Linked DNA regions of Mytilus edulis. The protein of the gene in region 2 purifies or fractionates together with the protein of the main gene of each other region. This does not show direct contact. Links are inferred from orthologs where the notes say so. Each region holds a gene or a part of one and is shown on either strand. Other genes may lie near its edges.

Region 1 (7,360 bases), about 32 Mb from region 2:
CATGTTAATCTTTGTTTGAAATTGTTAGGATCCATCAATCTTTTACACTGTCTACAGAGATTTTTAACAGGGTACCAATGCTTAGAAATTTAACTTAAGGTGGTACCTAACACTTTCACTAAAATCAATTTGGCTCGTTTAATTTTCATTAAATTTTGACAAAGTATTCACTTTGACCCTTTGACAAAAATATAAAAATTTCAAAAAATTTGAACCAACCATTTTATTAGAAAGAAATACACTGGTTATATAGCAGTTTGACAAACACTAATTTTGATCATTGAGAAGCATAAAATTCTCTTAACAACGCAACTTAATTAAAACGTTCAGCTGATTTTACAGAGTTATCTTCCTGTAGTGTTAGGTACCACCTAAGTCCTTAAACTCACCCATTTCAGTCTTTGGTGAACTTGTGGAGGTTCTATCTGTTTTCCTTTTTCAGGGCATTTGTCTTTCTTGTGTCCATTCTTCTTACAATAAAAACCTAAAATTATATCTTCTTTTAAATAGAATAAAAATAATCACAGAATTAACAAGTATTGGAAACCTATAAACAGTGATAGTGCTTCTTAGAGTTCCCCTTGTGCAAAATTTAATTAAAATCAAATCCTTTAATTGCTCCTGTTCTGATATGTCACACATCAAGGTGTGCGACAATGTAGCTGAATGGGAGCAATTCAAGAATTTAGTTTTAATTAAAGTGCCATTTTATTCTTTCTTTTTTTTGGGGTTAATTGTGATATCTGAATCTGTAAATATTAATTTTCAAGATGATCTGTATTATACAAGAAACTCATCTCCAAAAAATCGTTCATGTGTCACTTATATAGGTTAGACTTATTTCCCCTTTCCATTTAAAATATTTTCACAATGTAACTGAAACGATCAAATAAGAAAAAAAAGGTAAATATGGATTTATTCTTACACTGAATTGAATCTTTATCCTTGTCTCTATCCATTTATGTCAACTCTTCTGATAAAATCATTTCATCCTGTGGTATATATCACTCTGCAATGGAAAATGTCCTTTCAGACAGACTGAAAAGCAATAAAAGAACAGTATTCCTGCATCCTCCATGTTGTATATATTATCTTCAAGTTCAATAACTCCAAAACTATTTTTATTCATATTTTATACTTGTTGATAAATATCTTATAACAGGGGCTTATACATAATGTATTATAGTCCTAGCTTAGTACAAGAAAAGTAGATTTGACATGAGATGGCAAACTATATAATTGTTCACATAATTTTTACTTCCCTATAACCAAACTCCTAGTAAAAAAGTTGGTTTGCAGAGCATTACTTGCAGAGGACTTGTGTTTTACAGAAAGCATAAATTTGTCATAATTACTGTAAAAAACCAATATGTGTACAGAGCAATAAATTATATGAACTGTAATGTGCATATGCAGAAGGTAGAGACAGGGGTGTCCTGCTTTTTCTTGTATAAAGGCAAATTGGTTTTTTAGATTTTAATCTGTGGACAATGGAATTTAGTATATATATATATATAAATACATATTTGTTAGACTTAGATGGATGTCTGTATCTTTTAATTGAATGTGAAATCACAATCTCAAATAAATAAAAGTTAACCAACTAGATCAATGTTGCTTTATTCCTTTCATATAAATAAATTACATGTGGATATAAGACAATGTAACAGAATCCAAATACAAAGATAACGTAAAGACATCTAGGGGCAATACTATACAGTGTCAAACAATACTGGAAATTCAGAAATTTAAAAATATTGCGTGCATTTATTATTGTGATTTCGTAATTTAAACTAAAATGCGATTTAATTTTTGCGATATTATAAATTATCCTGTTTAAATCATATAAAATATTCAAATATGCGAGTTTAAATTATTGCGATTATAACTCCGTGGAATTTTTTGCAATAATAAAAACATCGCAATAATTTCTGAATTTACAGTAGACAGAATATAGAAAAATAAAATCAAATATTGAAAGTATTATCATTTGGATTTTTTTAACATTAGAGTATTTAGGTTCAACGATCATTTGAGTTTGGAATAATATGTCTTTACGAAATCAGGAGTATGACAGTAATTATAAAAAAGAAGATGTGGTATGATTGCCAATGAGACAACTCTCCACAAGAGACCAAATTTTAAAGACACAGAAATTAACAACTATAGGTCACAGTAAGGCCTTCAACAATGAGTAATATTTTCTTTAAATAAAATTGTGAAATCATTGCAGCAAGTTGGTAAAAAGGACATTGATTAGAGAAGCCAAATATTAAACGTAGATTTGAGAATGACAAAAAGACATTAATAAGAGATCATACATGTCATATAGGCAGTTGATTTGTATTTTTCATTTATTATGAATTCATATTTGGACATTGAATTGAGGAATGAACAATTTGATCTGAGTCTTACATATATAATAGAAACTTTTATAATTCTTCATTCTGCAAATTATTTCAGTGAAAAGGTGTTAAATAATTGGATAATGATTGTGATGGATGGCTGCTTAACGTCCAGTGGCAAATTAATATGCATATTTGGAACTAGAACGAGATCATGTAAATGAAATACGGAAAGGGATTAATAAAGGTTGCAATAACTTGTTTCCCAATCCAATATAAATAAATATTTTTAAAAACTAAGAATATTAGTCTGCTTTGTACAAGATGGACACACTACACAATTTTATTAACATGTAGATTTGTAGTACACAAGGAAACAGTCCACAGGAAGATATGTCACCTAACCCGGACACACTATTCAGACTCTGAGCTGATCAATCTTGGCTGGAACTGTTAATGCTGTCTAAAAATTGGAAGTAAATAGGTACAGATGAAGAAGTACACTTCCAAGACATACCGATTATGAGGTTGTCTGCATGTTGATATTGTAAAATATCAGCTTCAAGTCACAATATACAGCTTTTTGTCAAACAGGCACAGGGAACGAGATCAAAATGCCTTCATATTGTGTCGAGCAGCTTATATTTTACAATATCAATATGCTAATAACCTGATAATCGATTTATTAGGCTGTATTTGGGTCTTTTGGAAGTGCTTTCTTAGCTACACCAGCAACCAGAAGATGATCTGATAAGTTCGGGTCAAACTTATCAACGTTGGTTCAAGCATTATGACGTCACTGATATGTCCGGGTCAACATATTGGACGTCACAAAGCCGTAATATGCAATTTTATTAAGAACTGAGCAGAGTGATATAGACAGTGGGACGACCGATAACATACCAATATACTACATGTACTAGTATAATTTTTGTTACAATATTGTTTCAGATAAGGGTGAAGGTTGGAACCTATTAAAATGTTTAAAACCACAGCATACATGTATGTTTGCATCTGTCCTTAGTTTGGGATATGATTTTATTCAAGTAAAATGCCGTTATATAGTCCCATGTTGTTAAAATTGCAATTAAAATGATATGCACGCACAAAATGCAGCTTGTGTCAGCATAATCCTGTTATACATCATTTGACACAGTTCATGAACTTAAATACTGGGGTTGTTTATAAAAAGTGCGAAATTTCATTTGAGAGTCTGAGAACTGGGAAAGAGTGGTTTGATATGCCAATTAGGGTATGCATAGATAAGTCAATTAGGATATAATACCCCAATTGGGATATACATGTAGTACCACAATTAGAGTTATTCCCAACCTGTTTAATATAAATTAGACCGTTCTTTTTCACGTGTGAATGGTTTACACTAGTCATTTTTGGGGACCTTAACAGCTTGCTTTCTGGTGTGAGCCAAGGCTCCATGTTGCAGACCGTACAATTCAATAATCACTAAAGTCAGTAAAGAGATCTTATTCCTGTAAAAATTTTGTATTTTCTTTTCATAGTTTGTTCAACTTATCATCATGCATGTCATGTTTGTGATTCTGAACTTGAGAGCATTTTTCTAATTTTCATTTCATGTGTGATAATTTACAAACTAGGAATGATACACAAAGTCTATGATACATTTAAAATACCTAATTTTAAATCTACCCCAAGCTTCTCTAACACAGTAAAATCGGATACTAGTCCGTCTCCGTTTCGAGTTTTAGTATACATTTGCTAAAAGAAAGAACAATTTTGTATAAAAATAAAGAAATCACAAAAAGTTTGCACACATTAGATTGACTATTGATTTACAAAATTTAAAAAAAAAATCTTCGTTCTAAATTAAAATTTCTGTATAATATTCTAGCCATTTTAATTAGGTTCATAATAGTTAAAAGAATGACCTGTACGGGATCAAACTCCAGTTACTATAAAATACAAAGCGAAAGTACAAACTGAAAGTAGAATTTCTCAGCAGCCCTCATGAATGGGAGTTATGATATGAACCAGAGACATATTCCCAATAAAAACTAATCAACAACAAACTAAAAACCATATCTCATATTGCTATCAGTGTGTTTTCTTAAAGCAGGTAAATTTAAGCAGTTAAGGAGGCTCGAGGGTATAAAAATTTCAGAAAAAAAATAAACATTTGTTTTTCATTACAAATTTTATTTATTACCATTTGTAGTTGTTACTTTATCATATGGTACAAAAAAAAAATTAAAAAAATTAATTCGTGTTGGCCCCAGATGACTTTTAAAATGTAAACATCATCTAAAAAGTTCCAAATTATCTCCCTTTGGTGGAAAAATGCCATTTTTTGGCTTTAAAATTGAAATATCTCTTTTAACTCATCGGTGACCTATATTTTTTAATATGATTTCTATATATGCTTTACTTAAACTAAATTATTGTAAAATTTGAGCAATTTCTGTAATGAATTTCTTTTTTTATTTCGATATTACCTTTATTTCTCTTATTAGTTCAACAGGAAAAAAACACTTTTACAAAGATGTATGCTTCTTTCGAAGGCAGATTGTGAGTGCAAATGAACGGTGACCCCATTTTTTTATTTTATTTTTCTCTTAACTATAAGATAAAGTTCATTTATAGTAAAATATTGAGAAATCCTATATAAATGATTTAGACCCGCGAACCCCCTTAATTGAATTAAATCTATTTTTTGCATTTAGAATTTTATCCAATTTGCTCACTTATATAGCTGACAGATGTATTGACTTTTGTTTGTTTAGACCATGCAGTTTTAACACATTTTACACTGGTGAATACCATAGAACACCTAAATTATAGATGAGAGACACACTTTTATAGCCTTAAAATTGCATAATTTTTTTATAAGGTTCATCATAACAAATGGACAAATATGGGTGTATTTTCTCTTTAAACTTATATGTGTACAGACTTGAAATTTTTAATTCATTCCATATTTATTTGGTATTATAATGTTTTGTGCTGTTCATAACACTTTCCATACAATGTATTTTGTATAGATAGTGTTGTGCACGGCACAGTACATTCTATTGAAAATGTACTATCTTCTTTGTAATAGAAAGTGTTGTGCACAGCACAGAACATTAAAGTATAGAATAAACATGGAATTTATTAAAAAAAATACAACAAATAAAGAAATTATGTAAATTCCATAATTGATATTTGATAATAATTCCAAGTTCAAATAATAGCCTGTTATTTGACATTTCTGGGCCTTTTATAGCTGACTATCCTTTATAGGTTTTGCTCATTGTTGAAGACTAAAATCTTTAAAAAAAATCCTTTGATATTAATTTTTCATAACTTTTTAAAGAAAAAAGATGCCAATGTTAAATGTATGAAAAAAATCTAGAAATCATTTCCAGCCAAATTTTTAATTGTCTATATCTTCAGGATCAACAATTACTTAACATTATACCAGATTTTTTGTCTATTAAAAATAAAGGATATTTGATTTAAGAATACTTGTTTCTGGTCACAATCAATATATTCTTGTTCTTGTCTTGTAAATAGAAATGGTAATAGCAATTGGCTTTGAAGGAAGTGCCAATAAGATTGGAATTGGTATAATACAAGATGGAAAAGTGTTATCAAATCCAAGACGTACCTATATAACTCCACCAGGCCAAGGTATGTAAAAACTTAAAATTTGATATTCATGGTTTTGAAATAAGTACTTGCCAATAAACTATTTCATATTACAGACTTTTGACTCTGAGGTTTATATTTTATTGACAGGTTACTTAATCTGTCATTTTGTCTGTTGTAGAAAATCCTGGTATTCAGTCAAGTAAGAGCAACTTCAATAAGTAAAATCAAGCTTCAAATCAGTAAATTTACTGTTTCTTGTTGTCTATAAATGACAAAATCATGTGAAAACAGCAAAATTTCTCTTTAAATTGCACAGATTATATGTTTGATTTTTCTTCTTTTTCATGATTTCTTATCACCATGATCACAGAGAAGGGACCTGTGGAAATTTAATCTTGAGTCAAAAGTCCAGTTATATGAAAAAAGTCTATTAATAGCAAAATATGAGCAATTTGTATTTGGATATAAAGAAGATATGTTATAAGTGAAAATGAGACAACTCTCCATCCAAGTCACAACTTGTAAAAGTATAGGTCAAAGTAAATTTTCATGATATTGGAAGTTAGGTACAGTTTGGTGTTTTCGTCATATACTTTTTGAATTGCCAATATACCTGATATTAATTATTCTATGAGAACCTGCATCCATATATAAAAGTCTTTGAATTACAATGTATTACATTTATAATAAAAGAAGTTTAAAACAGAAAAACTGAAATATTAAATTAAGATCCTTTTAGTACTACATGTAGTATAAAACTGTCCTTTTGGGATTACAGGTTTTTTGCCCAGAGACACAGCTAACCATCATCGAGCTAATGTTCTAGTTGTATTAAAGGAAGCACTTGATGAGGCTAAAATAGATCCAAAACACATTGATGTGGTGTGTTATACAAAAGGTCAGTCTGAGATTATTTTTTTATTAACTAACATATCATGATTTTGCCAATTTATTTTTCGGTTTGACCTAATTGTTTTTTCCATAACTTGATATTCTGGGTCATTGTCATATATAAAGATAATTGTTGTTCGTCAAATAAAATTGAAATTTTAATTGTGTATTTTGCATTTTGCATTTTATTGTTTTTTACAGGTCCAGGAATGGGTGCCCCATTAGTATCTGTTGCCATAGTAGCGAGGACAGTAGCACAGTTATGGCAGAAGCCAATCATAGGAGTAAATCACTGTATTGGACGTATCCTTAACTGCATATAGACTTCAACTTCATGATCACTATTTATCATATAAATACAAAATTACATACCAATGAATCAAAGGAGATGTGGGAAATACTTCAATGAGACAGCAACAAAAAAATATAAAACTAGATGTGTCAAAGCGACACGAATGGCCCCGTCTCCAAAAGTTAAAAAATCTGCAATTTAAATAACACATGTGGACACAAAC
Region 2 (7,114 bases):
TGTACTGTTAAACACCTATTCCAGGTTAGGGGAGGTTTGGTATTTAAACCCTGCCATATTCTGTGAGTGTGAGTGCCTATCATACGTAAGGAGCATGTTACTAAGTGCTTTTCATTTGTAGCTGTTTATCATGTACATTTGTATTTTTTTCTTTCATTGTTTTGGTAACATAAATCAGGCAATTAGTTTTCTTGTTAGAATTGTTTTACATTTGTCATTTCAGGTCCATTTTCAGCTGACTATGCAGTAAGGGTTTTTCTCATTGTTGAAGGCTGTATAGCAACCTGGAGTTGTAAACTTCAATGTCATTTGGTCTCTGGTGAAGAGTAATGTCTCATTGTCAATCAGACCATATTTTCTTATATATTAAATCAGAAAGAAACAGAACAATTATGAATAAACTTTACCTAATAAAAAGAAGGCTATTTATTTGATAGGGTTATAGAGAATGTAATGGTCTGCTGAAAAGGGACATTGCATTTAACCATGATATATACATTTTGAAGAAAACACTGCATATAGCCATATACACTGTCAGTAATGAATAAAAAAAAGTTAACCAGAAATAAATTGTAGCTTTATTTATCCAACCATTGTTCTTTTCCTTCCACGAAGTCTAACTTCATCTAATTTGGCAACAACTTCAACTGAACTTTTTAAGTTGTATTTTTTGTATGAGTCAAGAATTGTCTGAAAAAAATCCTCTGTATTCGGATGCGTACTTAAAATGGCTCTTTCTAGTACATATAAATCTACTCCTTTCTCCTCAGCAAAATTTTCAAAATGGCTGAGACCAAAATCTATGATAACAACATCTAATCCAGCAGGGTTACCTCTAAGAAGCATATTTGATGTTGTCAAGTCACCATGTACAATGTTATTTGAATGCATTATTCCTAAAATTTCTCCAACTTTCACTCCTAAAGGTTTAAGAATATTATTTGCGGTATCACTGTTTTCATTGGCTTGAACATGTTGAATATACTCTCTAACAGTTTGTGCATCTTCAATTTCTTCCATGTAAATACTGGAATTTTCCATGTTTGTAAAATATACGGTTGGTGTGCAAATGCCTGAAATTAAAAATAACAATATTTTTTCAAACATAAAATATACTACATGTACAGTGTTAATATACATTACTTTCTGCAACAAAATCTTTTCCAACTACATGTACAGTACTACTTATCTGAAGGCCTATATTCATATATATTGTTTATGCATGTTATGTGTCTATTGGAATTGTCTAACAATATTTCCAAATACTTTGAATAACAAATGAATACAGTTTTACTAGTCTGGGGCATCTGTAGCTGACGATGCAGGCTAATCATGATGACTTCTTGTCTCTGATGCATGAATATTTTTTATTATTAGTTGTTTTCATTAACTACATGTAGCTTACAGTTAAAACAGCAAGTACTCTCTAACCATACTTTGTGTTATTTTGACCTGTTGACGCAATTTGTAATGCATTTCTGTATTTCAAGGTTGACTTACAAATAATGTATTTTGTGTTATATCTTGTCTCACTATTTTTAATATGTACCCCCTTAGTTCAGTTTTTAATATGACAATAAATTTTCACTTCTGTACTCGTACTGAGAACAGCAAATTCATAAATTCTATAATAAAAGATTACTTCCCTACTGGCATGACTGGTCTCCTAACAACAAAATTATTACATTTAAATTTTGTGTAAACTTAACAACATCTTGTCCAAGGTTAGAATTACTTTTAGTAAAATTATGAATTACATGTAAATGTATTATAATTACGAATATAGCATCAGGGATCAGACCATCCCAACCCACCCCAATCATGTGCCTTATAGCTATTTGGAAATCTGTGCCAATTGAACTATTGCAGTCATACAACAATAATTTTTCCGTTATGGCGACAGACATTTGTATTGTGACTTCAACTTTTTATGGGAACCTTTGAGATGTCCAATAACGGCATACAAAAATCGTATATGATTCCCGCTGGTCACCGAAAATAACATTAATTTGGAATCAATGAAAATATATTACCATTCATTCGACATCTCAACAGTGCTCTTACTTCTGATTTAATTCGATGGGTTGTCAAAGACTTGTCTAATGAAGGATGGCGGTAACATTTCGTAAACCTTTCCTTGATAATACAGGGTTTTCCATAAAATGTTGATTTATATAATTTGGCTTCTGCTCCTTGCTTCATCAACACGGGAATTGTAGCAATACTATTTCTTGATTCATCTTCCATACTCCGATGATGTTCTTTAAAGTAACAACGCTACTTATTTCTGGAAATATCGGCCAAGTGCTTGCAGTTTGATAATTTTTATTTTTTAATCAATGTGAATTTGGTGCTTGAAAGTTTTGATATATTTTCCTATCTTCAAACGCGTCAATGACAGCAACAAAAATTAGCAGACCATTTTTACCTCCCTGACAGGAGAAAACTTTGTTACAGCTGAAGGTCTGCACAATGACACAAATTGGAGTGAAAAAGAAATTTACACTGTTTTACTTTCCAACATCCTTTTCATCTCAAAAGGTTAAGATTCATTAACGTAATGATATAGAGTGATAAGGTTTATTTTCATTCAGAAATTCTTTTGAAATGACAATCCACTAATAAAATACAGAAGTTCTGAAATGGGTTACCCACTGCCATTGGCATGTCTTTTTCTCCTCTACAAAATAAAACCAACATTTAAGTTCACACAAGATTAATTACCATCCAACTTGACCGAAGTTTGGATTGAGCGTTTGAATCGGCGTAAACATTCATGCACTGGGACAAACAATTATACATGATGAACATGTGATGCTACACACTTTATCCCTATTTGGAAATCTGTCCTAGTTGACCCGAGAATCTGTCCTGTTGAACTTTTGATGTCATACAACAATCACTTTTCCATTATGGCGCCAGATATTTTGTATTATGACGTCAAAATTTGATGGGAACCTTTGTGATGTCAAGTAATGTATGCCAATAAACGAACCTGGTCAATATGAAACATCAAAATCAAAACCAAAAAATCTGTTCAGCTATATCAAAAGCACACGATCTGATAACACTGGTGTTGCACCTTTGAAAAAAGACCGCAAACTAGTCACAGACATTGAGGAAAAAGATTTTAAATCAACAGTTCCAATCAGTATTTACAGATGAAACAGATGATAACATCCCAGACAAAGGTACAAGTCCTCACCCGAAAATGGCAAAAATAACAATCACTGAAGCAGGTATTACAAAATTACTGTCGAACATAAATCCACACAAAGCTGGTCCGGCCAATATCAATGGCAGAGGCCTTAAAGAACTAAAGGAACAAATCTCACCAATCCTTACATTGATATTTAAAAAGTCACTTGAAACTGGAGAAACACCTAAGGACCAGAAACATACTAATGTAGCCCCAGCCTTCAAAAAGGGGCAAAAATACAAACCAGTAAACTACAGGCCAATATCTTTAACCTACATATGTTGCAAGCTCATGGAGCACATCATTACAAGTAGCATCATGTCTCATCTTGAAAAATATCATATATTATACGATCTTCAGCATGGCTTAAAAATATCAAGGTCGTGTGAAACACAGTTAATAGACTACATTCAAGAACTAGCACAATCAAATAACAGAAACACACAAATTGACTTGATCATAATGGACTTCACTAAAGCGTTCGAAAAAGTCTCACATTGTCACCTCCTTTACAAGCTCAAATTCTATGGTATTGAAAATAACACTCTAAATTGGATTCAGGCATTTTTACAGGACAGAACACAAACAGTAGTCATTTATGGCATTTCTTCCACCTCAGTACCCGTAACATCTGGTGTACCACAAGGAACAGTATTGGGCCAAATACTGTTTCTCATCTACATGTATATAAATGACTTACCGAAATACCTACAACAAAGCAAGCTTAGACTCTTTGCTGATGACAGCATAATTTACAGGGAAATAAAAACACAAGATGATTGTTATAAACTACAACTTGACCTAGACTCAGCAGCTTGATGGGAGTCAGATTGGCTTATGGCATTTCACCCTGATAAATGTACCAACCTTTCCATCTCATTTTCCACAATGTTGTTGAATTATTTTCGAAGTTATCGGTATGACCCAAATGGATACTTCTGTCTATCATTTATGTTTTCCTTTGGGGAGCATTCATTGTATTAGTCTCCGAGGATGAAACATGCAGAAAAGTCAAGCATATTACAAAAATTAACATTGCATGCATTAGTTTTTAGTGATCCTGTTTTTGAAGAACAGGTCAAAATAAAACTTAAGTTGCCAATTGTGTAATTGAGTAATTTTGGCTGTCTTCTAATCATTAATATATCTCTTTGGGATTCTGAAAAACTTGTCTTATTTGAACATTCTACGACAATTATTTTTGCACTGTAATGTCAAAATCTTTAAATTATTCAACTGAAGGTATTCAGGGGCGGAAACAGACATTTTCAAAAGGGGTTCCAAACCCAGTATCAAGGAGTGTTCCAACCATATGTCCCTATTCAAATGCATTGATCATCCAATAAAAAGGGGGGTTCCAACCCCCTGAACCCTCCCCCTGGATCTGTCATTGGTATTCACCAATAAGTGGCAAAAGTATGTGGAGTAATATTTCTTAGACAAACAGAAGTTGAACTGCTGCACCTCCATACACAATGTTCAAACAAATAAAAGGACTCAAATAAAATTACTTTAAATGGCCACAAGAAAAAAATTATATAACAAACTTTCTTGCTTCATGATCTTCTTACCATGCTGACACAACATTTTCGGAAGTTATAACTTATGTTGTTTTCCTTAAACAAAATTACCTACCTACTTAGTACCTACATACAAACCAAACCCTATTAGTCACATCAAACAAACAAAAATTATATTTTTAAGGGTGACCTAAATAGTTTTGTTAGGTTGCTTAAATTCACTTCATTTGGAAAGTTGTCCTAAATATTGGCAATCTTACAACATCTCCTTAAATTAATATTTTTTGTTTGTGAACCAAAACACATTTTATTTTATTTATTTTATGAATGTAACTAAACAATCTACTTTATTAGTGATAAAATAACATGAATCAAGTATTTAGTAGGTTCTAATTACAATGTATAATACCTCAGTTAACAAAATCCGTCTTAGCACTTTCCTACATTACGTAATAATGTAAATTTATTATTCATTGACCTTGGCTGGCGTTTAAGTGTTAGTGGAGGTTATTGCTTTTCTGAGGAATAATTTGAATGCAGAATGATAAGTGTTATTGGATTGTTTTCTAGGTTCTTCTTGCATTCTTTGAAAAAGAGGTACCATTTAAACCAAAGCTGGTCAGTCTGTTCTCTGGACAACACAATGCTCCTTGGTATGTAAAATTAAACCCAGAAGGTGTCCATGTACCAGTCTTACAAGATGAAGAGAACATCATTACAGAACCAGACAAGATTATTAAGTATATTGATACAGCCTATCCAGCAGGTAAGAATACGTAAAATCTACTCACACCAATATTGTTACATGTAGATGGTGAGGATTAACAACTTTTTAAAAGAGTTATGCCCCTTGTAAATATTTAAATGTGGAAATTGCATTGTTAGCTCTCTCATTAAACTCATGTCATGTGAACAATTCTTTCCACTTTTTTATGAAATTATAGCAAAGATTTATATCAGTATTATCTCAGCTTCAAAAATTAGTTCCAGTCAAGATTATAAAAGAGTTATGCCCCTTCGAAATTGCATTGCAATTGGTCTTAAGCCTTCAATTCTCTATGCTATTTTATTGCATGGGCCCTTGGACAGATACTATTTGTGCAACATATGGGACAATGTCCAAGGTTGTGGTCCAAATACCAGTGAATTAAAAAGAAATTGAATAAATGTCAATTTCAACTGATGACTTGAATACAGAATACTGGGGTATACATTAATGATTTTCTTGTTCTTTTTTTCTTTCTTTCATACTTTTTAAGAATCAGAACAGCAGTTCTTGGTCTTCTCTCAAATATAATTGTTACATTCACATGATTCATGATGCATGAGGCAGTTTTTGCTCAAGAAAGTTAAACTAAATCATGCTCCATGATAACATATATATATATATAAGTTAATATAATGAAGGCAGATTTCATAATTTGTCTTTTTTGTTGTTGAGGAAACTATGAAAATTGTTTCAATAATCTAAAGATATCATGTATATATGTAGGACTCTAAAGTGCGATGGTCACGCTAAAGTGCGATGGTCTATGCTAAAGTACGATGGTGTATCACGCTAAAGTGCGATGGTTGTTTGTTCGCTAAAATACGATGGTCACACTAAAGTGCGATGGACTAAAAGTGTAATGTTAAAGGGCTTAAAGTATTAAAGAACACGGATTTAAAAAATAGTCTTCTTGCGAAAGCTAGTACAAGGTTTTATGACATATTTGATAGGCTTTATAATTACCGATAGTCTTAAGTGGTCATTGTTTTAAATGAAGAAGAACGACCACGTAATAATTGCTAAAATGGTAATTTAGGTGTGACAAAAATCTATGTGTATGTATCCTGTATATTTTTTTTTTAATTCAGGCCGGTATCACATATTTGGATAATTGGTGTAGCTTGCCGTTCACACAGTATATCACTAATGTGAACATATCCTCTCAAAGTCGTCATTGTAAATTACAAATACAAAATTCGTTCTAATTTTTCAGCAGACAATTTATGATTTACGCATGGAAACATGACGTATAAAAAAGAAGATGTGGTATGATTGCCAATGAGACAACTATCCACAAAAGACCAAAATGACACTGACATTAACAACTATAGCTCACCGTACGGCCTTCAACAATGAGCAAAGCCCATACCGCATAGTCAGCTATATAAGGCCCCGATAAGACAATGTAAAACAATTCAAACAAGAAAACTAACGGCCTTATTTGTATAAAAAAATTAACTAAAATCAAATATGTAACACATAAACAAACGACAACCACTGAATTACAGGCTCCTGACTTGGGACAGGCACGTACCTGTTACCGACTTTACTTTTCATTAAAATCAATATTTGAACGGGGACGGCAAAGTAAACTGCAACATAAACAATGATTTCAATGTATCCGTT
Region 3 (7,045 bases), on a different chromosome or scaffold from region 2:
ATCTGATACTGGATTTAAAAATTAACTGACTAACAACATATGAAGGGTTTCTATTTGACAATGATAACATACATGTACAAAATGTATAACCCCACCGCATATTTGTGCCTGTCCCAAGTCTGGAGCCTCTGGCTTTTGTTAGTCTTGTATTATTTTTAACTTTAGTTTCTTGTGTATAATCTGGAGTTTAGTATGGCGTTCATTATCACTGAACTAGTATATACATTTATTTAGGGGCCAGCTGAAGGACACCTCTGGGTGTGGGAATTTCTCGTTGCATTGAAGACCTATTTTTGACCTTGTGCTGTAGTCTGTTATATGGTCCGGTTGTTGTCTCTTTGACACATTTCTATTCTCAATTTTATGTATATAAACTGTATAACAAACCTCTAGCCCTGTTACATCTCCTATATGAGAGGCCTCACAAATAGGTATTGGGTCATTATCAACATCCCCTTCTGTTCCCCTGCCATCTCCATCATCAAATTTCTTTTCTCTATTAACTTTCCATAAACATACTTTATTTTCCTGCAAAAGAAAAGATTTAAATTTAACATACTTCAATCACCCTAATTTTGTCCAAAACAAATCATAAATAACTTTCTGTGTTAAGCTAATATGTATCCTGCTTTGTGAAAATATGCACTGTATTTTTTTCCCTTAAATAAGCTCAACCTGAAAGGCCTCTATATTGTACATTATCATTTTTTCTAACTTTTGGGTTGTATTTGATGGAATGGCGTTGGCACACTTGCTCCTGTAGAAGGCAATATTAATTTAGTTAAATACCAAGAAATACTTGATGAACATTAGAGGCTTATTAGCTCAGCAATTTTGGGTAGGTCATCCTTTTTTCCAAGATGACAATGCTCCTGTCCATCATTGCACAGTACACCCACAAATTTGTAGCTTAGAACGGAATACATTGTTAGCTGGCCTGCACAGTCATCAGACTTAATTTGTGCCCTTGAATGTGATAGAAAACATTTGGTTATACAATGTACATTGTATATAAAAAGAAAACTTCAAACACGTACTGGGATGATTAAATCTACAAAATGAAATGTTCGAAAAAATTTATCGTATTTGCATGATTAGGGTCAATATTACGCCCTTCGATATTCATTGCTTAATAAATACAATTCCGAAAAGGATATTAAATGTAATCAAGCTCAAAGGACATCTAACAAAGTATTAAAGTAAGTTTTATAAATTTGTTGCATATTTTTATTGCATGCTACATGTACGTGTATGTACAAATGTATGTGAGATTCAACTTTGTATTACAGGTTGTCAAATTAAACAGTTTTTATGTTATTTATATGTTTTTATATTTGGTCAAAAGCTCCTTAGAGCTTGTTTTGTATATTTGTACTTATGCAGAAATCAAAATAAAATTTTCTTACATGTACATGTATCTTAATTTTCTATTTTTTTGTATTTCACTGGTTGATTTATTTACAGCGCAAGCTTGAACTTTGCAACACTCATTTTCAAAGTAAACATGCCGCCATCATGGCCATTGTGACTTTTTGCATTTCTCTGTAGGTGAAAATCCATTATTCAAATTTATTCTGTTCACAAATTTCCCTCTGAGGAAAACTAGGCTTATGCATGAAATTAAAACATTTTTTAACCTCTAAGTTGAAACAAGAGCTATCCTGGAACTATCTTCTATAAATGTAGCATCAATAGAACACTTTCGAGTTTGTCCGTCACCAGATAATCTCATCAATAGTGCACGCCTTTATGTCAGACGTCATTTACCAGATAGAGGGGATCGCATGCATCCCTGCACTATAAATGCTCATCAAGTGTCTAAGTTGTCGTCATTGTGGAGGATAAACTAGAAATAATATTTTTGCACTTAATCACAATTCTGGTGCCAGCTCCACCAGCGGACTATTTTGTCATACCAGCACGACCCTAGCGAACGATCAAAGCCAAAACATATTCAGACTGTGAAACTGACAATATCATCGAACGTCAAGGTCATCAATAACACCAGAGGACTTAAAGTACCAAATATAAACAAACCACAGAATAAACATTCATTTTTTATGGAAACAACTATTCACTGTAACCAACTACCAGATAAAGTTGTGCATGCAGGTTCTGTAGAGGCATTTAAGACCACTCTACAAGAACACCGCCCATAACAACGGCGCTTTTCTCCACCGTGTATAAAAGCCTAAACAGGATTCTACACATACATGTACCACTATAGATACAGACAGAATTCCCTAATGACAGCAGTGCTGAAAGACAATAGACGTATTTACACTTTGTATGCAAATTTGTCCGCCATTACGTAAAATCACACAGGTTCCTGTAAACTTTGACATCATAATTTAAAATATTTGACGTCACAATTTAAAGGTGATTGTTGCTTGACGTCAAAAGGTGATTTGGAGTCGATCTAAGGTCATTCTGGGGCAAGATACAGCTAAATACCAAAAGTGTAAATACGTTTATTAAAATGACATGAATGAGAATTTAATTTGCCGAATAATTTGTGCACTTAAGCTTTATAGTTTTCCAACCACTTACTCAACATTTGAACAGAAGTGATGACGCCCCTAAATGCAAGAATGATGTTCATTAAAACCAAAGTTCTTGACGGAAATGAGTCTAAATAGAAAGTTGTCTTAATTTGTCATAACATCACTCATCAGTCATCACTTCTCTTAAAATAACAAGATGCCATAAAATAATCAGTTTGACTTTCTTTTAGTAACCTATTAAATCATTCCTGAATGGATCTTCATTTAAAAGTCATATGCAGTCTATAGCTATAGCTCAAATACATATAATTCGAGAATAACAGGGAAAATGTAGCAAATTGTTAAAGTTTTGTGTTTATATGGTTTATATACTGTAAGAATCATTCAGTTTATGATATATAATGACCTCATCATCCCAGCTTCCTGTGACAAATGTGTCTGGTCCCTCAAGACTATTTTTTATAATGTTTTTCCATCTGATTTTGCTGATTTTCTGTGAAGCAAATGTTGCTCTTATGTCAGCCATTTTCAAAATTTGCACATGGCGGGAACATCCGGAACGATGCCGGATTTTTTCCGGAATTCATTCCAAAATTAAACAAATGTTTACATGTCAAAAAATAGAATTTTGTCATCACAAACTTCAGTTCAATACAGCATTTGAGAGTCAATGAACCTACAACTAAATGTTTCACACGTATAATTCATTAACAGATTTATATGAATGGTAAGATATTTATTTTTGTTTCTTCCTATAAACTGATCATGTCATATAATATTTTGGAAATAAGGCTGTGTAGACGTTAATTATTCTGTCTAAACTTTCTTGTACTATAGTCTATACACATCCTTTATGGTTAGCTTGGGAAAAAATATACAAGGGTACGACTCCGAGTTGTAAGTAAGTTTAGATTTGATTTTATTATTTTATGTGCTTATGTCACAGGCGGATTTAGGGGGGGCCAGGGTGCCCGGGCCCCCCCTTTTTGGGAAAAAAATTGGTTGCTTATATAGGGAATCACTGAAGCATGACTGGAGCGGGCCCCCTCTTAGGTCAGTCAGTAGGCCCCCGCTTATGAAAATTTCTGGATCCGCCACTGCTTATGTCATGTATGTGCTTGATGTTTTTTATATCCTGTTCTTATGTAAAGAATTAAGTTGCTTAGCTTTTATAATAGTATTTAATATGGTATACACAAGGCAAACATGGCTGATTGCATATCAACCAAAGTGTCTTTATCACCTCATCGCTATTTGTCCGCCATTACTGGATATCACACAGGTTCCCATAAAATTTTGACATCACAATACAAAATATCTGACGCCACAATGAAAAAGTGATTGTTGTTTGCGTCAAAAGTTCAAGCGAACGGGTCAGCCGGGGTTTAGCGATAAGGTGTATAGGGCCCATATTGAGCATATAAATCTGATCCAATAAAAATCACTGAGTTCATGCAATATCTACACACGTATGGAATACTGGTGGTACATGCTTTTTGTATACATTTGTGGTCATAAATAAATAAATAAATAAGTGGAGAGGGCCAGTACAAAGAGGGATAACTCCATTTGTAACTTTGCTTAACTTAACCCTTGACAACTTATCAAAATTTTATTGGGGCCTCATTGCCCAAGTGGTCTAAGTACAAAAATGTAGTTACTACTGTAATCACTAGCCAGTCAACACTGAGGTTGAAAGCCCCCCCCCCCCCCTTTTTTTTTTCGTGTGGGTGCACTTGACTCCAATCTTAATTGACTAGGATTGTCAGTTTTCTTATCTAAGGTTGGTGGTTTTATGCGGGCACTCCGGCTTCCTCCACCAATAAAAACTGGACCCAACAAAATAGCCTAAAACCTGGGCTTAAAAGTGGTGTTATTACACCAAAAATTATATCAATCAAAACTTTGTCAAAGAATTGTTTTATTAAAAAAATTTAGAGGGGACATTCAAATATGAAATGCTCTTCATCCATCATGTCCATGTCATCTTCAACTTATCCAACATGCATGTTTTAACATAACATTTGTGATCCATCTATAGTTTTTCGCATAATTATCTGTCTCTAATTTTAAGGAGTGTGCAATTATTTTTATCTTGCCTATCTTTAATTTGCTTAATTTCAAATAGTTTAATTACTTAACAAACAAACAAAAATGTTAAAAGAATAATTCAAGAGTTGACCTTTGTCTGATATTAGAGTATTTTCACTTAAATCTTTCACATGTTTTCATTTTCAAGTTATTTATTCTTAACTGTATAAAATAATTACATATTACAACATTTATATTATTTAGGTCAAGATCTTGAAAACCATTTTGTAATATTTTCTAAGTGTAGCTCTTTATCTAAAATATATATGTGTCATACATTGTATAATAAACCATTTAAAATATATATGTGAAATCTCCTTAATTCAGAAATAACGTCAAAATAATACTCGCTTTTCTAATTTCCAATATGATCAGCGAAGAAATATGTGCTATTAAATAATTTGTAGATGTAAATAAATTAAAGAAACAACCAAATATCTGTTCCAATACAAATTCTCAATTTTGAATATTTAGACCATTCTTAGTATTGGACCGGGTCACTTTACATACATGTATATTAAATGAGATAGAAGTTTTATTTTGATTTTTCTTTGTTTTTTAGCCTGATCTCTGATGGAAGAGAATTTCAAGATGTCACGGTCTGATGAGTATGACCCACTCATTGCCAATCAAGGTAATTATTATTTGACACTGTTACACTCAGTCATTAAATTTTCACTCTTTTATATACTCTTTATTTGGAGCGTGTTTGTGTAAGTATATTATTTTAGTGACATATATAAAATTTACAAATTATCAATATACAGTTTAAATTCTCAGGGGAAATAATTTTTATGTCTATCTAATACATGTACCTGTACTTAATTTTTTTTCAATTTCCAATTTTTCTGTTATTCTTTAAGTGGATGCATGCTTTATCATGTTTTTTGTACCACTTTAGGAAAATGTGTGAATTAATACCATGTGAACAGTGGCGGATCCAGAAATTTCATAAGTGGGGGCCCACTGGCTGCCTAAGAGGGGGCCGATTTCGTCAAGCCTCAGTGATTCCCTATATAAGCAACCAAATTTTTTTCTCAAAAGGGGGGGGCCCAGGCCCCCCCCCTGGGCCCCCCCTCCCTTAATCCGCCTCTGGTGTAGCATCATTGTAACTATTAAAGTTAAACAGGTAAAAGTATTCTGTGATCAGGTAAACTTCATTGGTCTAATTCATCTTTTGTCACAATCAAAGTTTTTCATCAAAAACTTGGTCAAGCTGGTAAACTTGGTTTAAATCATTGGTTGTCACTACCAAAGTTTTTCATCAAAAACTTGGTCAAAACTGGTAAACTTGAATTGGTCCAAGTCATTGGTCATTTGTCACTACCAAAGTTTTTCATCAAACTTGGTCAATGGAAAATATGGTAAAATAAAAAACTGAATTGTGTTAGTTTAAATAAAAATAGCATGAGCTTATATTTCTTCAATTTTCAAAGTGTTGAGTCTACCAACAATTTAAGAATGTTATGTGCTCACACAAAATGTACTTCGGTCAATGCTTTTACATCCCATAAATTTACAAAAAGAAGCATTCAATTCTTAAATGCAATTTTTTCTTTTGTGTATGGTATGTTATTATGAGGACATCGTATATATAATGGTCAAATGAAAAACTTTTGTAAAATCTCAAATCTTATTATATTGCAGCAGCAATTTATGTCAACACATAATGATGTTTAAAATTGGCAAAGGGAGATAATTTGGAGTTTTTCAATGTGATAAACATTTTAAAAGTCATCTGGGGCCAAAATGAAATCATGTTTTTGATTGATATTTATTTTTACCATATCATAAAGTAACAACTGATAGTGTAATAAATGCAATTTGCAATAAAAACAAAAAAATAATATTTTTGCTGACATTTTTGTACCTTCCAGCCTCCTTTAGACTCACATTATCATTCATGATTGTCTAATGATGTTGCTAACAGATTATATACATAATACATTCATCTTTATCATACAAATTTAACAATTTATTAGAAATTTTGTAGATTTATATGTAAAAATTGTCACAAATATCAGATTGACATTTTATGAATTATTGACTTCCATATATTGTTGTCATTCTGCCAATAAAATCTTTTCAACTTCTTATGATACAATTCATTTGTTTCCCTAAAGAATATAAAATAATGTAAGCATTTAGACGGCCTTTAATTTACACTTAAATCAGTTATAATAGCAATCAGATTATTTTGATGTTTTTTTTTATATTTACTACTCCAAAATGAAAATTTTGCAGGGATATGAAAACAAATATGACATAATTATATCAGACTGAATTTTATAAAAAAAAACCTGAAACTGTAAACATCTAAATAGCTATTTCTTGTTTCACTGAAAACCTGATAATACTATATTTAGGAGTAAACAATTTAAAGGTTCATGTTTTATATAAAAAATACTTTTACTAGTAATTTCCGTGTATGCTAATGACTTCAATTTATA

What was found.
Region 1: the proteins of EKC/KEOPS complex subunit Tp53rkb-like (region 2) and probable tRNA N6-adenosine threonylcarbamoyltransferase purify together in Homo sapiens (affinity purification with mass spectrometry; 5 studies listed by BioGRID and IntAct, counting the BioPlex papers as one, with this or other methods). This does not show direct contact. The link is inferred for Mytilus edulis from reciprocal best matches to the Homo sapiens genes TP53RK and OSGEP.
Region 3: the proteins of EKC/KEOPS complex subunit Tp53rkb-like (region 2) and nucleoporin Nup43-like purify together in Homo sapiens (affinity purification with mass spectrometry; 3 studies listed by BioGRID and IntAct, counting the BioPlex papers as one, with this or other methods). This does not show direct contact. The link is inferred for Mytilus edulis from reciprocal best matches to the Homo sapiens genes TP53RK and NUP43.

What each region holds. Positions count from the first base shown.
Region 1 is NC_092348.1:62,725,560-62,732,919, reverse strand, and holds the start of probable tRNA N6-adenosine threonylcarbamoyltransferase, read left to right. Parts: upstream 1-4,275; 5' UTR 4,276-4,440; intron 4,441-5,876; 5' UTR 5,877-5,878; coding exon 5,879-5,993; intron 5,994-6,732; coding exon 6,733-6,852; intron 6,853-7,046; coding exon 7,047-7,148; intron 7,149-7,360. Other genes in the region: retinitis pigmentosa 9 protein-like, read right to left, coding at 390-484, 926-959. UniProt on the Homo sapiens protein: Component of the EKC/KEOPS complex that is required for the formation of a threonylcarbamoyl group on adenosine at position 37 (t(6)A37) in tRNAs that read codons beginning with adenine.
Region 2 is NC_092348.1:94,762,695-94,769,808, reverse strand, and holds EKC/KEOPS complex subunit Tp53rkb-like, read right to left. Parts: upstream 2,353-7,114; 5' UTR 2,248-2,352; coding exon 2,034-2,247; intron 1,074-2,033; coding exon 583-1,073; 3' UTR 567-582; downstream 1-566. Other genes in the region: ganglioside-induced differentiation-associated protein 1-like, read left to right, coding at 2,473-2,541, 5,290-5,485.
Region 3 is NC_092353.1:66,796,402-66,803,446, reverse strand, and holds the start of nucleoporin Nup43-like, read right to left. Parts: upstream 3,072-7,045; 5' UTR 3,031-3,071; coding exon 2,911-3,030; intron 529-2,910; coding exon 388-528; intron 1-387. Other genes in the region: synaptic vesicle glycoprotein 2C-like, read left to right, coding at 5,169-5,229. UniProt on the Homo sapiens protein: Component of the Nup107-160 subcomplex of the nuclear pore complex (NPC). The Nup107-160 subcomplex is required for the assembly of a functional NPC.